Macaca mulatta: one gene and its partners. The protein of the gene in region 3 binds, or shares a complex with, the protein of the main gene of each other region. Links are inferred from orthologs where the notes say so. Each region holds a gene or a part of one and is shown on either strand. Other genes may lie near its edges. The genes, in order: GNAQ, GNAI2, CCKBR and GAST.

Region 1 (4,803 bases), on a different chromosome or scaffold from region 3:
CCTCAATCAAATATTGCAAACCAAAAAAACTAGAATGCCACTTTGCTGGGGCCACCTTAGTTTCTCTTCTATTTCATTGTTTCCTTTCCGTTTATTTCATATTATTTAACATTTTCCCATAAGTCATCCATAATTCAATCTCAGTCTAGAAGGGTAAATTCGATTACTCGGCGGTTAAACATTGTGTGCCTTGTCAGAAACAAGAGAACTTGTGAAACAAAAACAATAACAACTTAAAAAAAAACAGAAACAACCAACCACCACCAAAAAAACAAAGGCATGAAAAGTTGGAACCTATCGGGAGGCTGGGAAACTTGGGCAGCTTCCTTTCTCTGCTCAGGATTTAGATTTCTATCTCTCGTTACTTTGCGGACAGCTTCGCCTGTGAATCTCCCCCTGTGCCTCCGGGCACCGGTGCCAATTCCTTCCCTTCCCCAGTTGCCCCCCACAGTATAGAGGATCTTATTTTCTAAGACTGCACCGGGGTCAGAGGTGACACGAGAGTTTCTAACCGAATGGCGTTTTAGAAATAGGAACGGGAAACACAGAAGCGGCTGAGGAGCGTCCCCGCGGAGCACACAGGCACAGCGCGGGAGCCGCGGACGCCAGCGCCGGCGCCGCAGGGAGCGCGTGCGGGGCTCCGCGGGGCCGCCTCCCGCGACTTCAGCAGGGGCCGCGGCCGCGCTCCCGGGCCGGTGGGCTGAGGCAGGCAGAGACCGCCATTTTCCCGCCTCACCACGCCCGGCCGGACGGCAGCCGCAGGTCGGCGGCGGTCCTAGCACGCAGCGGCGACCGCCGGCTCGGGCTGCACGTCGGCGGCCGGGGGCGGCCGTGACCGCGGCGCCAGCGGGCTCTGCCGAGGGTACGGGAGCAGTGGGCGTCCGCAGAGCCCGAGAGAGCCGGCCCAGCCCGGGAGCCGCGCGGGCGAGGCGAGAGCCGCACTGGGAGGCGCGCCGCGGCGGCCGCGAGCCCAGGAAAGCCTTCCAGGAGGGGCCGGGCGGCACCGCCTCCCGGCTCCCCTCCTCCCGCGCCCGTCCCCTCCGCCTCCTCCCCTCCTCCTTTCGCCGCCGCCTCCTCCCTCCCGGATCTGTGCTCCAGTTCAGAGAAAGAAGAAAATGTGTGTGTGTGGCGAGGGGGAGGGCGCGCACTGAGCAGCCGCTCCGCGCCTGGCAATCGGGGCAGGGGGTGGGCGTCTGGCGGGGGCGGGGGCGGAGGCGGAGGCGGAGGAGCGCGCGGTTGCCGGGCGGGCCGGGAACCGGGTCTGCGCGCGAGCCGGGCGGTGGGCGCGGACAGGGCCGAAGGCGCCCGGGAGCCGTGTCAGGCGGCGGCGAGGAGCGGGCGCGCCGGGCGCGGGGAGCCGTCGGCGGCCGCTCGCTGCGGGGACACCCCGGTGGATGAGCTCTCGCCGCCAGGCGCACGGCGTAGGGGAGCCTCACAGGCGGCGGCGGCGGCGGCGGCTCGGGGGGCGAGGCGGGCCGCCCGTTCCTGGGGAAGGAGGCGCGGGCGTCTGAGCGAGGCCGGGCGCGGCGGCCTTCTCTCACGCGCCCCCCGAGCCAGCGCCCGCCTCCCGCGCCCGCCTCGCTTCTCCCGTCGGCCCAGGCCATCCGCTCCCACCGCGCCCCCGGCCCACCTGGTGGCTCCGGCTCCGGCCGCTGCCCCCGCGGCGGTTCCCGGAGCTCGTCCCGGCCGCGCGCCCGGGCGGCGGGGGCTCGGCGGCCACCGCTGCCTCGGGGGAGCGAGGGCGGGAGGGTGTGTGTGCGCGCTGTGAGCAGGGGGTGCCGGCGGGGCTACAGCGGAGGCACTTTGGAAGAATGACTCTGGAGTCCATCATGGCGTGCTGCCTGAGCGAGGAGGCCAAGGAAGCCCGGCGGATCAACGACGAGATCGAGCGGCAGCTCCGCAGGGACAAGCGGGACGCCCGCCGGGAGCTCAAGCTGCTGCTGCTCGGTGAGTACCGCCCGGGGCCCCGCCGGGCCTCTGCGCCCCCAGCCCACCATCCTTGGCCCTGCGGGACAGCTGCCCTCTCGGCGTCCCCCGCCCCCCGGCGCCCCCGGCTAGCCCCTACCCTCCCGGGCGCGCCCCCGGCCACTGCCTTCACCCGCGCGGGCGCGCGGGCGCGTTACACACACACACACACACCCAGATACACACACGCAGGCGCGTTACACACACACACACACACACACACACACCCCCACCCACCCACCCACCCAGATACACACACGCAGCAGAGGGGTCGCGGCTGCCCTGCCGGGTGTCTCGGCTTTTTTCTTTTTGGGTCCCTGAGGGCTGTGCCTTATCTGCTGTGCATCTGCTAAATGGCAGATCACTCCGGCCAGAGGCGCGGGGGTGGAAAGGTGGGCAGAGGGGTTGAACTTCCAGTGTCGTGGCCGCGGCATCCCATGGGGTGGTGGCGCGGGGAGCCGTGTGTGTGGCCCAGCGGGTGGCGAGCGGAGCTGGGGCACGTTGGGAGATGGCCTGCGGTGGGGTGGCCGGTGTGCATCCATTATCAGTGCCCTCTGGGGTCAGGAGGGAATGGGGGAACGGTGGGCAGACTCGCAACTGGATTCCCGGAGCACTGATGATGAGGAAGCCAAGTGGTTGGCCCTCCAAGGAAAGGGCCTGTGTATTGGGGGCGGGGCGGGAGGGCGAGCCCAAATGTGTCACAGAAGTGCTGTTCTCTAGCCACCAGACCATCGAAAGGAGGGAGCCTAGAAGAGTTTCTTGGCTAGTGGATGGTGACAGGCGTGATTCTCGTCTGCACCATTGCTTCTAGATAAAGATGAGGGTAGGGGAGTGTTGTGCTGTGTGGTTGTTGACAGCGACCGGTATCTTTTGTTTAATGAGGCAACCCAGATGTAGGCCTGAATTCACAATAGTTACTGCCGAAAACCAGTGCAGTCTCTCAGTTACTCTCTTGGCAACAAATAGAAACCTTTTGTTTAAAACACATAGCATTTTAATATCTTTGGAATCTGGGCTAGAAGGAAAACGGGAAGCATACAGGAAAAATTTTCCTCTAGTCTTGAAAAAAAATTCTGCTTTAGCTCTAAGTTAGCAAGAAAATGCCATTTCTCAAATAGAAATTTATTGATGATTATCTCAGAGAGGATGTTCAGAATCAAGCGATCAGGATTCACATACAAGCCACAGTGACAGAACCCTGAGCTATTGTGGTGGGAAGAGCAAACAGCTTTGCAGTAACAGGCCTGAAAAATGTCTTGTGTTCTGGATATTTGCATGTATAATAAATGTGTTTCTCAAACATTTCTGTAAGAAAAGAATATTGTACTGTCAGTTGGTGTTTGAGAAGCATGCATTTTCTTTCTTATCTTGAGCATTCCATTTGCTGGCTCAAGGAACCAATTGCCTTTGGGAATGAACTGCTTATGTACTGTATCATTTACAAGCAGGAGCAAAATATACTGATCACACACATAGTTACTAATAGTTAATTCACATGACATGCTTTATGTCTTCATTTTGAAACTCAGATAAATGGGCACATGTTTATAAAGAACTGAAGGCGAAACACTAGATGAAAGAGGTGGGCTTAGGGGAATGAAGCCAGGGAGGAGGCAAACTGCAGTTGGAAAGTAAAGATTTTTTTTTTTTAAATTCTCATTTTGAGCTACTTCTAATGGCTGAAAACAGGCAGTGGAATGTTTTCTGAGTTCTCAAGATTGAGAAGAAAATAAAGAACAAAAGAAATATGTAGAGTGTTTAAGTGCATGATTAAGGGGAAAAGCACGTATTTTAGAGAGACTTGTTTTAAGAATTGTTTGTTTCTTCTGTTGCCCTGTTGACAGTCTTTGTTTCTGTTTAACTGTGAACTGGGCAGTTGAGGTCTCTCCAGCCAACCCTGTTTGCCTGAAAAGTGACAGCTCTGAGTTTCCCAGCAGCTAAGAGTTGAAGCCCAGGGAACCGGTTTGTCAATGGGCCTAGGTTTGAATGTTTAAGGGAAATACACTTACATGGATGCTTAATTCCATACTGTGTGTTTAAATAACACTGTGCTTTTAAAAATGAACTTGGAGATAATTTTCTGAGAAAAAGTGTAAACCAGTTTTACTGCTAAAGTGGTGGTAGTGTGGAGAACTTTTTTTTCCTCTTATTCGCGGAACATCATGCAAGTATTGTTACTGCTTCATGTTCTTGGTATGTTGCCTTTGCAACATAAATACCACAATACACTATATAGTAATGTACGCTAAATGTGGATTTGTGCGTGCATGTGTGTGTATGAGTGTGATTTCAGGAGTTTTTGAATCCAGGATGGTTGATTTCAACAAGGAAGATATTAGGGAAGGATTTCATTTGAGGAATTCCTGATTTGCTGCTTTGATGAGTAGACTGAATGTTCTGGTTCCTTCTATCATTTAAACAAAACCTGTCCAGAGGAGATTATAGAATGTATCCATTCACAGTTTAAAGATCTACTAATATTTTTAACCAGTTTATGGAGGAATAACTGTATTTTGAAATGAAATTCAGTATAAAATTGTTTTCAAAGTAAATTTTAGTTCAAGACTTGATGCCATTTTAATGGAAAAGGATTTGTTTGACAGGGATAAAAGTGGGTACCCTTGCATTTGCTCATACAATTATTTACTTTTGTATATTAATAATATGGAGACATTTAAAAAGGCAAGTAGTAGGTACCTGACTAGATGAAAGTATGGCAGTAAAATTTGGGCTATTTTGATTTATATTCGGCAACTGTGCTAATCTTCCAAATTTATTCCATATGCTTATATATTATATATTTTATTTTAACTTTAGAAACGTGAACCCTGAAATCTA
Region 2 (4,279 bases), on a different chromosome or scaffold from region 3:
GACTCATGACTTGGCATCCTTGGCCTCTGCTCCTTCAGTTCCCCCCATCCTGGCTGTGACTGGCTCCTGGTTCTTCCTCCTGCTCTGGAGGAGCCAGTGAGGAGGATAGTCAGGTGGCTACTGCTGCCTTCCCTGCCCCAGTGGGTGCTTTGAGCCCCAGGGGGATGGGCCTTGGTGATGGGGCATCACTGTGAGGCTTTCCTGGGACCTTTCCCTGTGTCCCCATTGGCAGGCGGAGGAGTGTTAGTATGGAGATCCTGGCTGCCCCTCTGCCATGCACAGCCCAATGGGGAGGGAGTGGTGCTAGTATATACTCTGGTATACACCCCAGTGAAGATAGTGGGCCTGGCACCTGTAGTGCCCAGGGGCTAAAGCAATAGAGGGGATTGCTGCCCCAGCCTGCCCAGGGCCTGCACATTTGTATGTCCACAAGGTTGTGCAACCATCACTGCTATCTAATTCCAGAATATAATCACCACCCTCAAAAAGAAACCTCTTACCCAACTAGCTTTCACTCCCCATCTCCCCACATCCCCTCCCCTCATCCTGGAAAGCAGGCCTGGGACAGTCAGAAGCTCAGTGATTGCAGACACCTGGTGGCATTTGTGAGGAGGGCTCAGGCCCTTCCCCTCAGGGTGGTCTCTGGCGTAGGGGGCTGAAGGTGGGCAGGGGCCTTGGCACGGCCTGCCACCATATCCCAATGCCTGCTGCTGCTTGTTGAGCACTGCGCACATGGCCCAGAGTCTGTCTGGGGAGACAGGGAGTGAACCCAGTGCCAGGTGGACTGTGTGGCTCCGCTGCAGTACCAGGTACTCAGGACAGTTCTAGGAGGGACTGCATGGTGGACAAATGCGCTCCCTGCAGAGGGGACTCTAACCTGTGACTTCAGCCTCCCTGGACCTCAGTTCCTTCATTGGTTAGAGCGGGGTGAGAATGGAACCCACCTCCCAGGATTGCTGTGGAGGTGGCAGTTGGTGGGTGTCATTGATGTAGAACAGCATCCGGCACATGGTGGGCGCTGTTTTCATATAGCTTTGCTGTCAATATTGCCGATGTTATTGTTACTGCTTGTGTTTGTTTGTGTGTTAGCACCTTCATTCTTCTGAGGTAGTTTTGACCAGCCCCGAGGGATACTGGTAAGGTTGGCCTGGGTCCCCAAGTTTGACCTCTGCACAGACTGCACTGGCCACCCAGCTAAGCTGTACAGAGGAACAGACGTGCCACAGTGATCAGAACTGAAACACTGTGAATGGGGCATGGGGCACATATTCCCAGCAAAGAGAACAGCATGAGCAGGGTGCTGGAGGTGGCTACAGGTAGTACCTGGCAGCTGCAGGTCTGACTGGCAGTGATGGAGCAGGAGCAGAGGGGTCTGGGAAGAACAGCAGGGCCCAGCTGGGGGCCATTCGACCTGGAGCTCAAGACAGCCAGCAGCAAGGGAGCAAGGTCAAGGTGAGGCTTTGCCTCCACTCCCTCTGGCCCCTAGCCAGGGAGTTGGGTGGCCCTCCTGGTCCTTCTTCACACAGACTCCCTGGGTAATACAGGCTCCTGGGCTGCACTCCTCAAGATCTGGCTGTTATCTGGGATGGGACCTGGGAGTTTGCTTTTTTTTTTTTTTTTTTTTTTTTTAAGACCAAGTTTCGCTCTTGTTGCCGAGGCTGGAGTGCAATGGCATGATCTCGACTCACTGCAATCTCCACCTCCCAGGTTCAAGCGATTCTTCTGCCTCATCCTCCCGAGCCTCTGGGATTACAGGCACCCGCCACCATGCCCAGCTAGTTTTTGTTATTTTTAGTAGAGATGGGGTTTTGACATGTTGGCCAGGCTGGTTTCGAACTACTGACTTCAGGTGATCCACCTGCCTCGGCCTCCCAAAGTGCTGGGATTACAGGCGTGAGCCACCGCGCCGGTGGAATCTGCTCTTTTAAACACCTCCCCAGGGCATTGTCCTGCAGGGTCTTAGCCACATTTTGAGAATGGCAGGGTGGACCTGGCATCATGGGTTCCCTCCACCCTCTTGCCCTTCTGAGTCCTGGCTACATTATCTTAGATCAATATTTTATTTTTCTGAGCCTCAATGTCCTTGTCTGTAGAATGGGAACAGAAACAATATCTTCTGTGACTAACACGAGAGAATGCAGCAAATCTCAGTACCAGCTAAGGAGAAATATGGGCCAGGGGTGTACCAGGCCAGGGAAAAGCTTGAGTCAGTATGGGCGTGTGTGGGTGTGGGTGTGTGAAATACATCGCAGGTCTCCCAGATTCATGAGTCAGTACGTTTCTGTGTTAAACTGTAGGTCTCCCAGATTCTAGCCTTCTAGCCTCCATCTGCTCAGGGCAGACCTGGGTGCCGTGAGCAGAGGGCGGGGCATTGGGCCACGTCCAGAAAGCTGAAGTGTGACGCTGTGCTCCTGCTTAGGGCCCTGATTGCTAAGGCTCAGAGTGTGGGGAGAAGAAGGGCTGCTACCCTGTTGGATGGAGTATGCAGGGCATCTTCCTGCCAGCTCTGCCCAGGGTACCATATTGGCATGCACCAGCTGCACAGGTTGGTGAGCCTATGTATGTGAGAACAGGTTGACTCCTTCAGGTCTGGCCAAGTCTCCAGCCAAGACCCCTGAACTCAACCAGGACAATGGGGAGCCATGGTGGGCAGCAGAGCTTGTGGGAGGCAAAGGCCTGCAGAGAGTCTGCCATGGGGCACAGGTGCTCTAGGTTACCTTGACCACTGTGGCCCTGCCAGCTGCATTCCTGATAGCTCAACTGCCCACCAGGCCCAGCTGCCTCCATCTCACAGTGCAGCTGGTAGGATGGTTAGTTCTGCCTCCTGGGCTACAGGTGTCTGGGCATTTGTTCTGTGCCTGTGGAGCCCCTCTGGGCCTGCCCCTGACCACCTGTGCCCTCTGTTCCAGGTGCTGGGGAGTCAGGGAAGAGCACCATCGTCAAGCAGATGAAGTAAGTGCTGTATCCCAGAGGCAGTGCCCAAACTCCAGCTTCCCCTCTTCATCCTCTGGGCCTGTACTGCCCCCGACTACAGGCCCAGCCAGTCTTAGCCAGGCCCAGAACCTTCTCAGAGGCAGTCACTTTTCCTCAGGTCCCAGTGGGTCAGGGGCAGTTTTTTCTTCTCTGAAGCAGGTCCCAGCAGCCCCAGGCAGCTGTGGGAACTCCCAGTGCCCTGGGGACACTAACCTTCCTGGTCCCTGGCTATCAGGATCATCCACGAGGATGGCTACTCCGAGGAGGAATGCCGGCAGTACCGGGCGGTTGTTTACAGCAACACCATCCAGTCCATCATGGCCATTGTCAAAGCCATGGGCAACCTGCAGATCGACTTTGCCGACCCCTCCAGAGCGGTATGTGCCCTCCGCCCCACCCTCTCCCACCTCCCAAAAGGTTTCAGGGTGGCTGGGTGTGGTGGCTTATGCCTGTAATCCCAGCACTTTGGGAGGCTGAGGCAGGTGGATCACCTGAGGTCAGGAGTTCAAGACCAGCCTGGCCAACATGGTGAAACCCCATCTCTGCCGAAAATACAAAAATTAGCCGAGCATGGTGGCACGTGCCTGTAGTCCCAGCTACTTGGGAGGCTGAAGCAGGAGAATCGCTTGAACCCAGAAAGTGGAGGATGCAGTGAGCCAAGACCGCCCCACTGCATTCTAGACTTGGTGACAGAGCTAGACTCCATTGCAGAAAAAAGAAAAAAAAAAGGTTTTAGGGCAAGTCTCATCCTAGGGAATCCAAGAATACCCTAGCCTGGGCCCCATTCCAGAGGTTTCCCTGCCTCTGGCAGGGTGGGGGTATATTCCTTCAACTGCCTGACCACCCGCCGCTGTGCCCAGGACGACGCCAGGCAGCTATTTGCACTGTCCTGCACCGCTGAGGAGCAAGGCGTGCTCCCCGATGACCTGTCCGGCGTCATCCGGAGGCTCTGGGCTGACCATGGTGTGCAGGCCTGCTTTGGCCGCTCAAGGGAATACCAGCTCAACGACTCAGCCGCCTAGTGAGTGCTCTGAGGGGCTGGGCTGGGCAGGGCAGGGGCTGGGGGAGGACTAAAGGCTGGACTGGAGGGCCTGAGAACCCCCAGAAGGACACTGCTGGTCTTTGCTCATGAAACCGAAGACCGTTAACCAAGGCCTTGGTGTTTTTTGGTTTGGGGGGTAGGTGGGTGACACGTTATTGAACGACCAGGAGGAATGACAGGCAGGTGGCTTATACAGTACATCTCTTCCAGTTGAGTCTGATCTGTCTTGACATACAGTCTTCTAAAGAACATTTGCAGCCGGGC
Region 3 (4,319 bases):
ATGGGTCAGAGAAAGGAGAGAGTAATACCAAATGAGGTATCCAGAAGGGCCTTACAGAAGAAGTAGCAGTCACTTTGAGTCTTGACCAACAAGGGATGAATAGGAATTCACCAGATACAGAAAATAAGCTTGTCATGAGGGGTGGAAATTGTGAGGAGGGTTGGTGAAAGAGTATTCCGGTCTGAGAAACTAGCTTGAGCAGGAAGAGAGTCACAAGTGCAAATGATGCATTCAAGAAACTGTGTCATCCAGTGGCTTGCTTAAATGGCTGCAGTGCAGGGAGGGGGTAGGGGAGAAAGAGATCCCTTCTGGGAAGATCTTGATGACATTCTGAGGGGTTGCAGACAGTAGAGAATAAGCGAAGGATTTTTTTTGCTTTTGCCTTTAGAGAATAAAGACATGATCTGATGTGATTTAAAAGGCAGTGGGTTATCAACAGTGTAAAATACTCTAGAGAGGTCAAATAGAATAGGCTAAGAAAGGACCTTTGAATTTAGCAGTTAAAGATTAGTGTACTTGGGAAGAAGTATGCAGCGATAGGGTACAGAATATTGTATTGTAATAGATTGAAGAGCAAATGAGAAGACACAAATATCCTCTTAAGAAGTTTGGCTGCAAAGAGAAAGATTTGGAACGAACGTTGAGAAGAGGCAGGCTTTCTTAAGGAAGGGCAGAGTTGGGCCAATTTAACCAAACCTCAAGGGGTTAGAAGGCTAAAGGATTCAAGTTCACCATTTACTGAGCAGTTCCTGGGTGGCGAATGTAGGCATCTGGCTGGGTAATGAGGGTTGGGGATAAGAGGGAAGGAGGGGGGTTTGGCTGAATGAGGGCTGACCACCTACTGCCACCTCTCCCTTTTCTTACCCAGAATTGGAGCTGGCCATTAGAATCACTCTTTACGCAGTGATCTTCCTGATGAGCGTTGGAGGAAACGTGCTCATCATCGTGGTCCTGGGACTGAGCCGCCGCCTGAGGACCGTCACCAATGCCTTCCTACTCTCACTGGCAGTCAGCGACCTCCTGCTGGCTGTGGCTTGCATGCCCTTCACCCTCCTGCCCAATCTCATGGGCACATTCATCTTTGGCACAGTTATCTGCAAGGCGGTTTCCTACTTCATGGGTGGGTGAGACAACCACGCACCCCCATTTGCCATTCTCCCCTCCTAAAGCTCTTGTGGATGTAGGGGTCCTCCCCAGTTGGCAGGGAGGGGTGTGAGGAAGTCCCACTGATGGTTGTGCAGCGCAAGTTTCCTAGGTGACTCCCTCCTGTCTCTTCCCTTGCTTAGGTGTGTCTGTGAGCGTGTCCACGCTAAGCCTCGTGGCCATAGCACTGGAGCGGTACAGCGCCATCTGCCGACCACTGCAGGCACGAGTATGGCAGACGCGCTCCCACGCGGCTCGCGTGATCGTAGCCACGTGGCTGCTGTCCGGACTACTCATGGTGCCCTACCCCGTGTACACCGTCGTGCAACCAGTGGGCCCTCGTGTGCTACAGTGCGTGCATCGCTGGCCCAGTGCACGGGTCCGCCAGACCTGGTGAGCTTACCCACAAATTATCCTAGGAATTCCTTTGTCACCCCTATTAGATGATTACGACCATTGCCCAGAATCTTCCTCCAGCTGCCCGGAGAATTACCACGCCAATTCCTATTCCGCATCCACCACCCTGGAGTTCCAGTTTGGGTCTCTTCTGCAGTTCTCTCTCCCTTCCCAGTGGCACCCCCAAATCCTACTCCTATTTCAGGTACCTGGCCACAGCCCTAGAAACACCAGTCCTTGGCTTTTTCTCCATCTGTGATTATAGCTGGACAGAAACCCGAGTGATCTGTCTGTCTTGCCTTCAGGTCCGTACTGCTGCTCCTGCTCTTGTTCTTCATCCCGGGTGTGGTTATGGCCGTGGCCTATGGGCTTATCTCTCGCGAGCTCTACTTAGGGCTTCGCTTTGACGGTGACAGTGACAGCGGGAGCCAAAGCAGAGTCCGAAGCCAAGGCAGGCTGCCAGGTGGGGCTGGACCAGGTGAGCAAAATCTGGAAGAGGCGGAGCTTTGGAGGGCGACAGGGCCTGCTGGAGTGGGTGGGGCTAAAATGGAGGTGAGAAAAAAGCTGGAAATGGGGTTACGGCTGGGAGCGGAGGTCAGGTGGGGACTGGGCTGGAAACTGGGAGGACTCTTGCCTTTTTCTCTGACCGCCCACCCTCTGTGCTCAGGTGCTATTCACCAGAACGGGCGTTGCCGGTCTGAGACTGGCGCGGTTGGCGAAGACAGTGATGGCTGCTATGTGCAACTTCCGCGTTCCCGGCCTGCACTGGAGCTGTCGGCGCTGACGGCTCCTGGGCCCGGCTCCCGGCCCACCCAGGCCAAGCTGCTGGCTAAGAAGCGCGTGGTGCGAATGTTGCTGGTGATCGTTGTGCTTTTTTTTCTGTGTTGGTTGCCAGTTTATAGTGCCAACACGTGGCGCGCCTTTGATGGCCTGGGTGCACACAGAGCACTCTCAGGTGCTCCTATCTCCTTCATTCACTTGCTGAGCTATGCCTCGGCCTGTGTCAACCCCCTGGTCTACTGCTTCATGCACCGTCGTTTTCGCCAGGCCTGCCTGGAAACGTGCGCTCGCTGCTGCCCCCGGCCTCCACGAGCTCGCCCCAGGCCTCTTCCCGATGAGGACCCTCCCACTCCATCCATTGCTTCGCTGTCCAGGCTTAGCTACACTACCATCAGCACACTGGGCCCTGGATGAGGAGTAGAGGGGCCGTGGGGGCTGAGGCAGGGCAAATGACAAGTACTGACCCTTCCAGACACACAAAACACAAACCACAACTGACGCAGGAGACCGGCACCCAAAGCATGGACTAACCCCAAAGCACAGGAAAAGGTAGGTTATGTGACACAAAAGGAACAAGAATGGAGCAGTACACAGGAAAGGAGGCATGCCTCTGATACAGGACTGAGCCTGGCCCATAGAAACATGACACTGACAGACACAGCGTCCCTAGCAGTGAACTATTTCTACACAGTGGGAACTCCGACAAGTGCTGACCTGCCTCTCACACACAGATTAATGGCACTGATTGTTTTAGAGACTATGGAGCCTGGCACAGGACTGACTCTGGGATGCTCCTAGTTTGAGATCACAATGCCCTTTCCCAATCAGTACTGAAAATACCATCAGGCCTAATCTCATACCTCTGACCAACAGACCATTCTGCACTGAAAACGTTCTTCATTCCTTTCCAGTTAAGGACCGTGGCCCTGCCCTCTCCTTCCTTACCCAAACTGTTCAAGAGATAATAAATTATTTGGCTTCCTCCTGAACTTCCTTTCTGGATTCTTTTGGTGCAGGTGAGGAGGCAAGGATTTTGCAGTATCCTTCTGTCAGTTCTCTCCCACTGTTGCACACCACTGTGCACAACCCCTTGCCAGAAAGCCCAGCCTCTGAGGCTCAATGTGACTGTGCATATTCTTTCTGGATTTTCAACCTCTACCTACATTCCAGTGTTGCAGTAACTGTGAATGGGGATGGAAAATGGCATATCCATGACGTATCATGATTCCTGATCACATTATCCCAAAGTGGTGCCACTGTTAAGATACTATATTAATGGATACTTGTTAAATTTTGATGAAAAGATAAAAGAAGAAGCACTGTATAGTAAGACTAAGTTTATTCAGTGTGTGTGTGAAACACCAGAGATCAGACCATGACAAGTATACAGAAGTTAATTAAAGAGTAGGGATTTTTTACTGTACTCTTTTCTCCAGTGTCAAAATCTGGCCAAGATTCTGCCAAATGGAAGCACTCTTAGCAGCTACAACAAAAAAGAACTGAATAGGAGTCTGAGAACCTAGTCTCCCTTTTACTACAAGAATGATCTAGCCCGAGACAGGCAAAAACCAGCAATATCACCTCTCCACACACAATGACAAATGAGGAAGAACAGGAACTGAGGACCTCACTAAGGAGACATACATGGATAATCAGAGGCATAGTATATTGGAGGAGGGGTTTTTGATGCTTCATCTTGTAACCGATAGGGGAAACTGAGGCCCAGAGCAGGAAGGTAAGCTGCCCAAGGTCATACAGTAAGTTAGAGCAAGAGAAAATAATGGTGTTGAAGTAGACACTGGGCTGGAGATGGGAAAAAGACCCACCCATGAGGAGCAGAAACAAGTTTTGTGGGACCTAAAGTTTATAAAATTGGGTGCTCTTTTTTTAAGAAAGAAAAAGAACACAAAGTTACAGATACAAGATTACTGAGACCCTGACCAGGGCCTTGAAAGGGGCCTGTGCAAGTGATAAGCCCTCAGTTTTAGGCCTCATTCACT
Region 4 (4,802 bases), on a different chromosome or scaffold from region 3:
GGAATAGGAGACATGCTTCTATTTGTTGAAATTGCCATCCCTCATGTAACCAGCCTGGGGAAGAACACTCAAGGGGGCATAACCCCCTCCACGGGCACAAACTGAGTCTTGGGCTCTGGTACAATCAGGGTTCTACTGAAAGCTTATCATTTCCCATTAGAGTTACCACAGCAACACGAATGTCTTCATTCATTCCCCTAGTGTATGAACAGAGCTACACCCACCCCACCTGTTCTCCCAAGCCCCCTCAAAGTCCTTCCATCTCTGAGATTCTGTGATTCAATTAATCATCACCAATGCCTGCACTGCTTTTTGTCATTTTCATTAATTCCATCTGCTGAGTCACCGTGTCCTGCTCTGGATCAGAGTGGTTATTCACAACGGTTATTCAGCCGTCGGTTGCCATGGACACCGCACAGCCTGCTTCCTTCATCACCCATTAATTCTCAACAAGGCTGGCTGTGAGCGTGGGTACCACAGCCGTTACCCAAGACCCAAGGGGAATCAAACTCTCCCAGAAAAGGAGGGGGCCTGATGACGCATGAACAGAAGCAAAATCTTTGCTCTCAACGGTGGAAAAATCAAAAACAGCCTACAACTCATTACATCCGGTCAAACCATGTGGAGGCAGCAGTTTATCAAATAAGTCAACAAAGTGCCGTTTTGTTTTCTGGTCCATCTTCGGCAAATGCTTTAGTCTGTTTGCTAACCATTTGAAGGTATACTTTGACACTGAAAAGTTGTTGGCTGGGCATGGTGGCTCACACCTGTAATCCCAGAACTTTGGGAGACCGAGCCGGGCCGATCACGAGGTCAGGAGTTCGAGACCAGGCCGCCCAACATGGTGAAACCCTATCTCTACCAAAAATACAAAAAATTAGCCAGGTGTGGGGGCGTGCACCTGTAATCCCAGCTACTTGGGACGTTGAGGCAGAAGAATTGCTTGAACCTGGAAGGTGGAGGTTGCAGTGAGCTGAGATCACGCCACTGCACTCCAGCCTGGTGACAGAGCTAGACTTTGTCTCAAAAAAAAAAAAAAAAAAAAGGTTGTTTTGCAGATTACTAGCTCCTGAAAGCAAAATGAAGGAGACTTGAGAGGCAGGACCCCCCGGGAATTGGCTCTGCATAGGGGGTTTGCAGGTGGTGGTGCATGGGCAGCTGACCTGGGAGATGTGGGGCAGCTACAAGCCAAACTCACACCAGCACAGAAGGCCTAAGGAGAAGAAGGCACCGAGGGTGTTCCATGGTAGGGGGAGGGTGAAGGGGCTTCAGAGGTGACCAGGATGTGAGCCACCAGAAGGAGAGAACAGGGCCATCAGCCCACAATCCATTGCTCCTGGTAACACATTGTATTTGCAGAGTCCAGTGGAGGGGACGGGGAATCAATACATCACCCCGCATTCACACACTCATCAAACATCAGTGGATGGTGAAATCTACTTTCCCTGAATCTAAGCCCATCGGGTTCACTCCCTCACCTACCACCACCCACAAAAGTCCCTATGTAGTTTGAGAGATGAGTACCAGGCCTCTGACCCCCAGGATAGGTGGGGAGCATTGCTCCTGACCAAGGGAGCTTGGTTCCTGCCCCTTAGGTACAGCTGGAGAGCTGCCACCACCCCGCTCCAGCCCCTCACCATGAAGGTCAACTCCCCTATCCTTCCCCCACATCCTGGATGACTGACTGACACTAAATGACAGGGCGGGGCAGGACGATGGGCTGTACCTGTGCCCCACCCCATTCCTCTCGCCTGGACTCATATGGCAGGGTAGGGGTGGGGGGGCACAGTTGGGAGGGACCTCGAGGGCTTTATAAGGCAGGCCTGGAACACCAGGCAGAACAGAGACCTGAGAGGCACCAGGCCCAACCGCCACACCACACACCTCCCAGCTCTGCAGGTGAGAAAACCCAGGAGGAGAGGGGAGAGGCTGGGAAGTGGGTTGACAGGTCCTCTCCCCCATCAAGGTATCAGGCCACTGGCCAGAGTCTGGGGCTCACCCCTTGGAGTCCCCAGTGCTGGGACCCTTTCTTTATCCCAGGATGGAACTAGGTCTTGGCTCCAGTACCTACCTTTGTATTCCCAGCCTTGCCTTCCACCTGCCCTCTGTCCCAGCCGGGGCTCTGCCCTTAACCTCTCCCTTCACACTCCTCCCCTGGGAGGTGAGGAGGACTGGGGTTCTTCTCCTCTCTCTTAGGTGAGAAAACTGAGGCCCAGAGGCAAGATGTGACTTGCCCAAAGTCACAGGGATTTTTAGGCAGGGCTGGGATGGGAATCCACAGCTCCTGGATCCCACTTCAAGCCCTTTCCTAGACCACTGCCATCCAAAAGAACGTCCTATGATGCGGGAAATGTTCTTTATCTGCACTGTTCAATATGGTAGCCACTAGCCACGTGTGTGCTTGAAATGGGGTTGGTGTAAGGAAGTTTGTTGTTGTTGTTGTTGTTTGTTTTTTATACAGAGTCTTGCTGTGTCACCCAAGCTGGAGTGCAGTGGCGTGATCACAGCTCACTGCAACCTCCGCCTCCCAGGTTCAAGCAATTCTCCTGCCTCAGCCTCCTGAGTAGCTGGGATTACAGGCGCCTGCCATAACACCCGGCTAATTTTTTATATTTTTGGTAGAGACAGAGTTTCACCATGTTGGCCAAGCTGGTCACAAACTCCTGACCTCAAGTGATCCGACCCCCTCGGCCTCTGAAAGTGCTGGGATTACAGGCGTGAGCCACTGCACCTGGCTGTAATTTTTTAATTTAATTAATTTAAATGTAAAGAGCCACACGTGATTGGTGGCTACAACACTGAACAACCAACGTGTGGTTAGCATCTGACAGTACAGCTCCAGATCACTGAGTTTTCAAACGTTTCTTCAGCAGCAGAATTCTTTTCTTCCAAGGAAAACCTAACAGAGAACCTCATTATGAAAAACTTAATAGCCAGGCACCGTGGCTCATGCCTGTGATCACAACACTTTGGGAGGCTGAGGCAAGCAGATTACTTGAGCTCAGGAGTTCCAGACCAGCCTGGGCAACATAGTGAGACCTCATCTCTACTAAAAATAAAAACAAATAAATTAGCTGGGCATAGTAGTGCACACTTGTAGTCCCAGCTACTCAGGAGGCTGAGGTGGGAGGACCTCTTGAGCCCAAAAAGTCGAGGCTGCAGTGAGCCAGGATCACTCCAGCCACTGCATTCCAGCCTGGGAGACAGAGCAAGATTCTGTCTCACAAAAAGAAAAAAAGAAAAACTTAAAAGCAGTACTTTATTAATACAAATGTATTCTGACAAGAGAAAATTTTTATCATTTTCTTATGATAAAGCCAATCAGAATAATGAGACTAAAAGAATACAAAAATCGTGAGTCCAGGGAACAGATGACCATTTGAATTTTACGTTTGTTTGAGATTCCAGTTTAGTTCTGTATTATATCTTTTCCCCAAACTGGATTCACCCTTTCACCCTGATACATAATTGCTAATGGTGACAGCTTAATTTTTTCTTTTTTTTTTTTTTTTTTTTTTTTTTTGAGACGGAGTCTCGCTCTGCCGCCCAGGCTGGAGTGCAGTGGCCGGATCTCTGCTCACTGCAAGCTCCGCCTCCCGGGTTCACGCCATTCTCCTGCCTCAGCCTCCCGAGTAGCTGGGACTACAGGCGCCGCCACCTCGCCCGGCTAGTTTTTTGTATTTTTTAGTAGAGACGGGGTTTCACCATGTTAGCCAGGATGGTCTCGATCTCCCGACCTCGTGATCCGCCCGTCTCGGCCTCCCAAAGTGCTGGGATTACAGGCTTGAGCCACCGCGCCCGGCCTTAATTTTTTCTTAACTGCTTCATTATAATCACAGGATATTCCTCAGTTAAGCAAAAATGACTGGAGAACCTTTCCTCTCAGGGCCGCACAAAAAAACAGTGTGAGCTGGCCAAGCGTTGAATGTGCTGCAGTCTCCAAAGTGATAACATGCGGTCTGTAACACAGTTGGATGTCTATGTTCCTTTGGTATTACTATTTAAAAGTTTCACTTTTTGTTTTTGTTTTTTTGAGACAGGGTCTCACTCTGTCGCCCAGGCTGGAGTACAGTGGTGCAATCTCGGCTCACTGCAACCTCCACCTCCAGGGCTCAAGGGATCCTCCCACCTCAGCCTCCCAAGTAGCTGGGAATACAGGTGCATGCCACCATGCCCGGCTAATTTTTGTATTTTTTGTAGAGATGGGATTCGGTATGTTGCCCAGGCTGGTCTCAAACTTGTGGGCTCAAGGGATCTGTCCTCCTCAGCCTCCCAAAGTGCTGGGATTACCATGCCTGGCCTAAAAAGTTCACTTTAAATAACAAGTCTTGGGCCAAGCACAGTGGCTCACGTCTGTAATCGCGGCACTTTGGGAGGCTGAGGTGGGAGGATTGCTTGAGCCCAACAGTTCAAGACTAGCTTGGGCAACATGGTGAAACCCCATTTCTACAAAAAATACAAAAAAATTAGCTGGACGCGGTGGTGCAAGCCTGTAGTCCCAGCTCTTCTGGAGGCTGAGGTGAGAGGATCACCTGAGCCCAGGAGGTATAGTCTGCAGTGAGCAGTGATTGCACTACTGCACTGCAGCCTAGGTGACAGAGTGAGACCCTGTCTCAATAAATAAATAAATTACATGACTTAAACAACTACAGAGCCACTAACATGGCCTCAAATTCTGCAGAACAGAACCTAGGAAAACCATTGCCCTAGGATTTGACTTTCTCCAGGAGAAGCAGTGGCTGTAATAAGGGTAAGTAAAGAGAAAAAACACGAGACTTTGGGGCTGGCGTGGAACCGGCAGA

What was found.
Region 1: the proteins of CCKBR (region 3) and GNAQ are in contact, whole or in part, in a cryo-EM structure (PDB 7F8W), measured with the Homo sapiens proteins. The link is inferred for Macaca mulatta from reciprocal best matches to the Homo sapiens genes CCKBR and GNAQ. Residues at the interface, in NP_795344.1 of Homo sapiens: Thr87, Val88, Thr89, Asn90, Glu151, Arg152, Ala155, Ile156, Pro159, Leu160, Ala162, Arg163, Val164, Trp165, Gln166, Thr167, Ile241, Leu245, Gly248, Leu249, Val331, Leu335, His394, Arg396, Phe397; in NP_002063.2 of Homo sapiens: Arg30, Arg34, Asp35, Arg37, Arg38, Leu40, Ser198, Val199, Phe341, Lys345, Asp346, Ile348, Leu349, Gln350, Asn352, Leu353, Lys354, Glu355, Tyr356, Asn357, Leu358, Val359.
Region 2: the proteins of CCKBR (region 3) and GNAI2 are in contact, whole or in part, in a cryo-EM structure (PDB 7F8V), measured with the Homo sapiens proteins. The link is inferred for Macaca mulatta from reciprocal best matches to the Homo sapiens genes CCKBR and GNAI2. Residues at the interface, in NP_795344.1 of Homo sapiens: Thr87, Thr89, Arg152, Ala155, Ile156, Pro159, Leu160, Ala162, Arg163, Val164, Thr167, Ser169, Ile241, Gly248, Leu249, Lys328, Val331, Leu335, His394, Arg396; in NP_002061.1 of Homo sapiens: Glu28, Ala31, Arg32, Glu33, Val34, Lys193, Leu195, Thr220, Phe337, Thr341, Asp342, Ile344, Ile345, Asn348, Leu349, Lys350, Asp351, Cys352, Gly353, Leu354, Phe355.
Region 4: the proteins of CCKBR (region 3) and GAST are in contact, whole or in part, in a cryo-EM structure (PDB 7XOW), measured with the Homo sapiens proteins. The link is inferred for Macaca mulatta from reciprocal best matches to the Homo sapiens genes CCKBR and GAST. Residues at the interface, in NP_795344.1 of Homo sapiens: Cys107, Pro114, Asn115, Gly118, Thr119, Phe120, Met134, Gly135, Val138, Tyr189, Gln204, Cys205, His207, Leu222, Val349, Tyr350, Ala352, Asn353, Arg356, Pro361, Ala363, His364, Leu367, Ser368, Ile372, His376, Tyr380; in NP_000796.1 of Homo sapiens: Glu85, Ala86, Tyr87, Gly88, Trp89, Met90, Asp91, Phe92.

The regions. Positions count from the first base shown.
Region 1 is NC_133420.1:109,009,885-109,014,687, reverse strand, and holds the start of GNAQ (guanine nucleotide-binding protein G(q) subunit alpha), read left to right. Parts: upstream 1-1,764; 5' UTR 1,765-1,811; coding exon 1,812-1,947; intron 1,948-4,803.
Region 2 is NC_133407.1:113,724,212-113,728,490, forward strand, and holds part of GNAI2 (guanine nucleotide-binding protein G(i) subunit alpha-2), read left to right. Parts: intron 1-2,419; exon of another isoform or gene 2,420-2,475; coding exon of another isoform or gene 2,476-2,545; intron 2,546-2,909; coding exon 2,910-2,952; intron 2,953-3,208; coding exon 3,209-3,350; intron 3,351-3,833; coding exon 3,834-3,994; intron 3,995-4,279. UniProt on the Homo sapiens protein: Guanine nucleotide-binding proteins (G proteins) are involved as modulators or transducers in various transmembrane signaling systems.
Region 3 is NC_133419.1:59,517,673-59,521,991, reverse strand, and holds the end of CCKBR (gastrin/cholecystokinin type B receptor), read left to right. Parts: intron 1-868; coding exon 869-1,120; intron 1,121-1,286; coding exon 1,287-1,536; intron 1,537-1,844; coding exon 1,845-2,017; intron 2,018-2,206; coding exon 2,207-2,733; 3' UTR 2,734-3,308; downstream 3,309-4,319. UniProt on the Homo sapiens protein: Receptor for gastrin and cholecystokinin. The CCK-B receptors occur throughout the central nervous system where they modulate anxiety, analgesia, arousal, and neuroleptic activity.
Region 4 is NC_133421.1:66,048,975-66,053,776, forward strand, and holds the start of GAST (gastrin), read left to right. Parts: upstream 1-1,782; 5' UTR 1,783-1,899; intron 1,900-4,681; 5' UTR 4,682-4,750; intron 4,751-4,802. UniProt on the Homo sapiens protein: Gastrin stimulates the stomach mucosa to produce and secrete hydrochloric acid and the pancreas to secrete its digestive enzymes. It also stimulates smooth muscle contraction and increases blood circulation and water secretion in the stomach and intestine.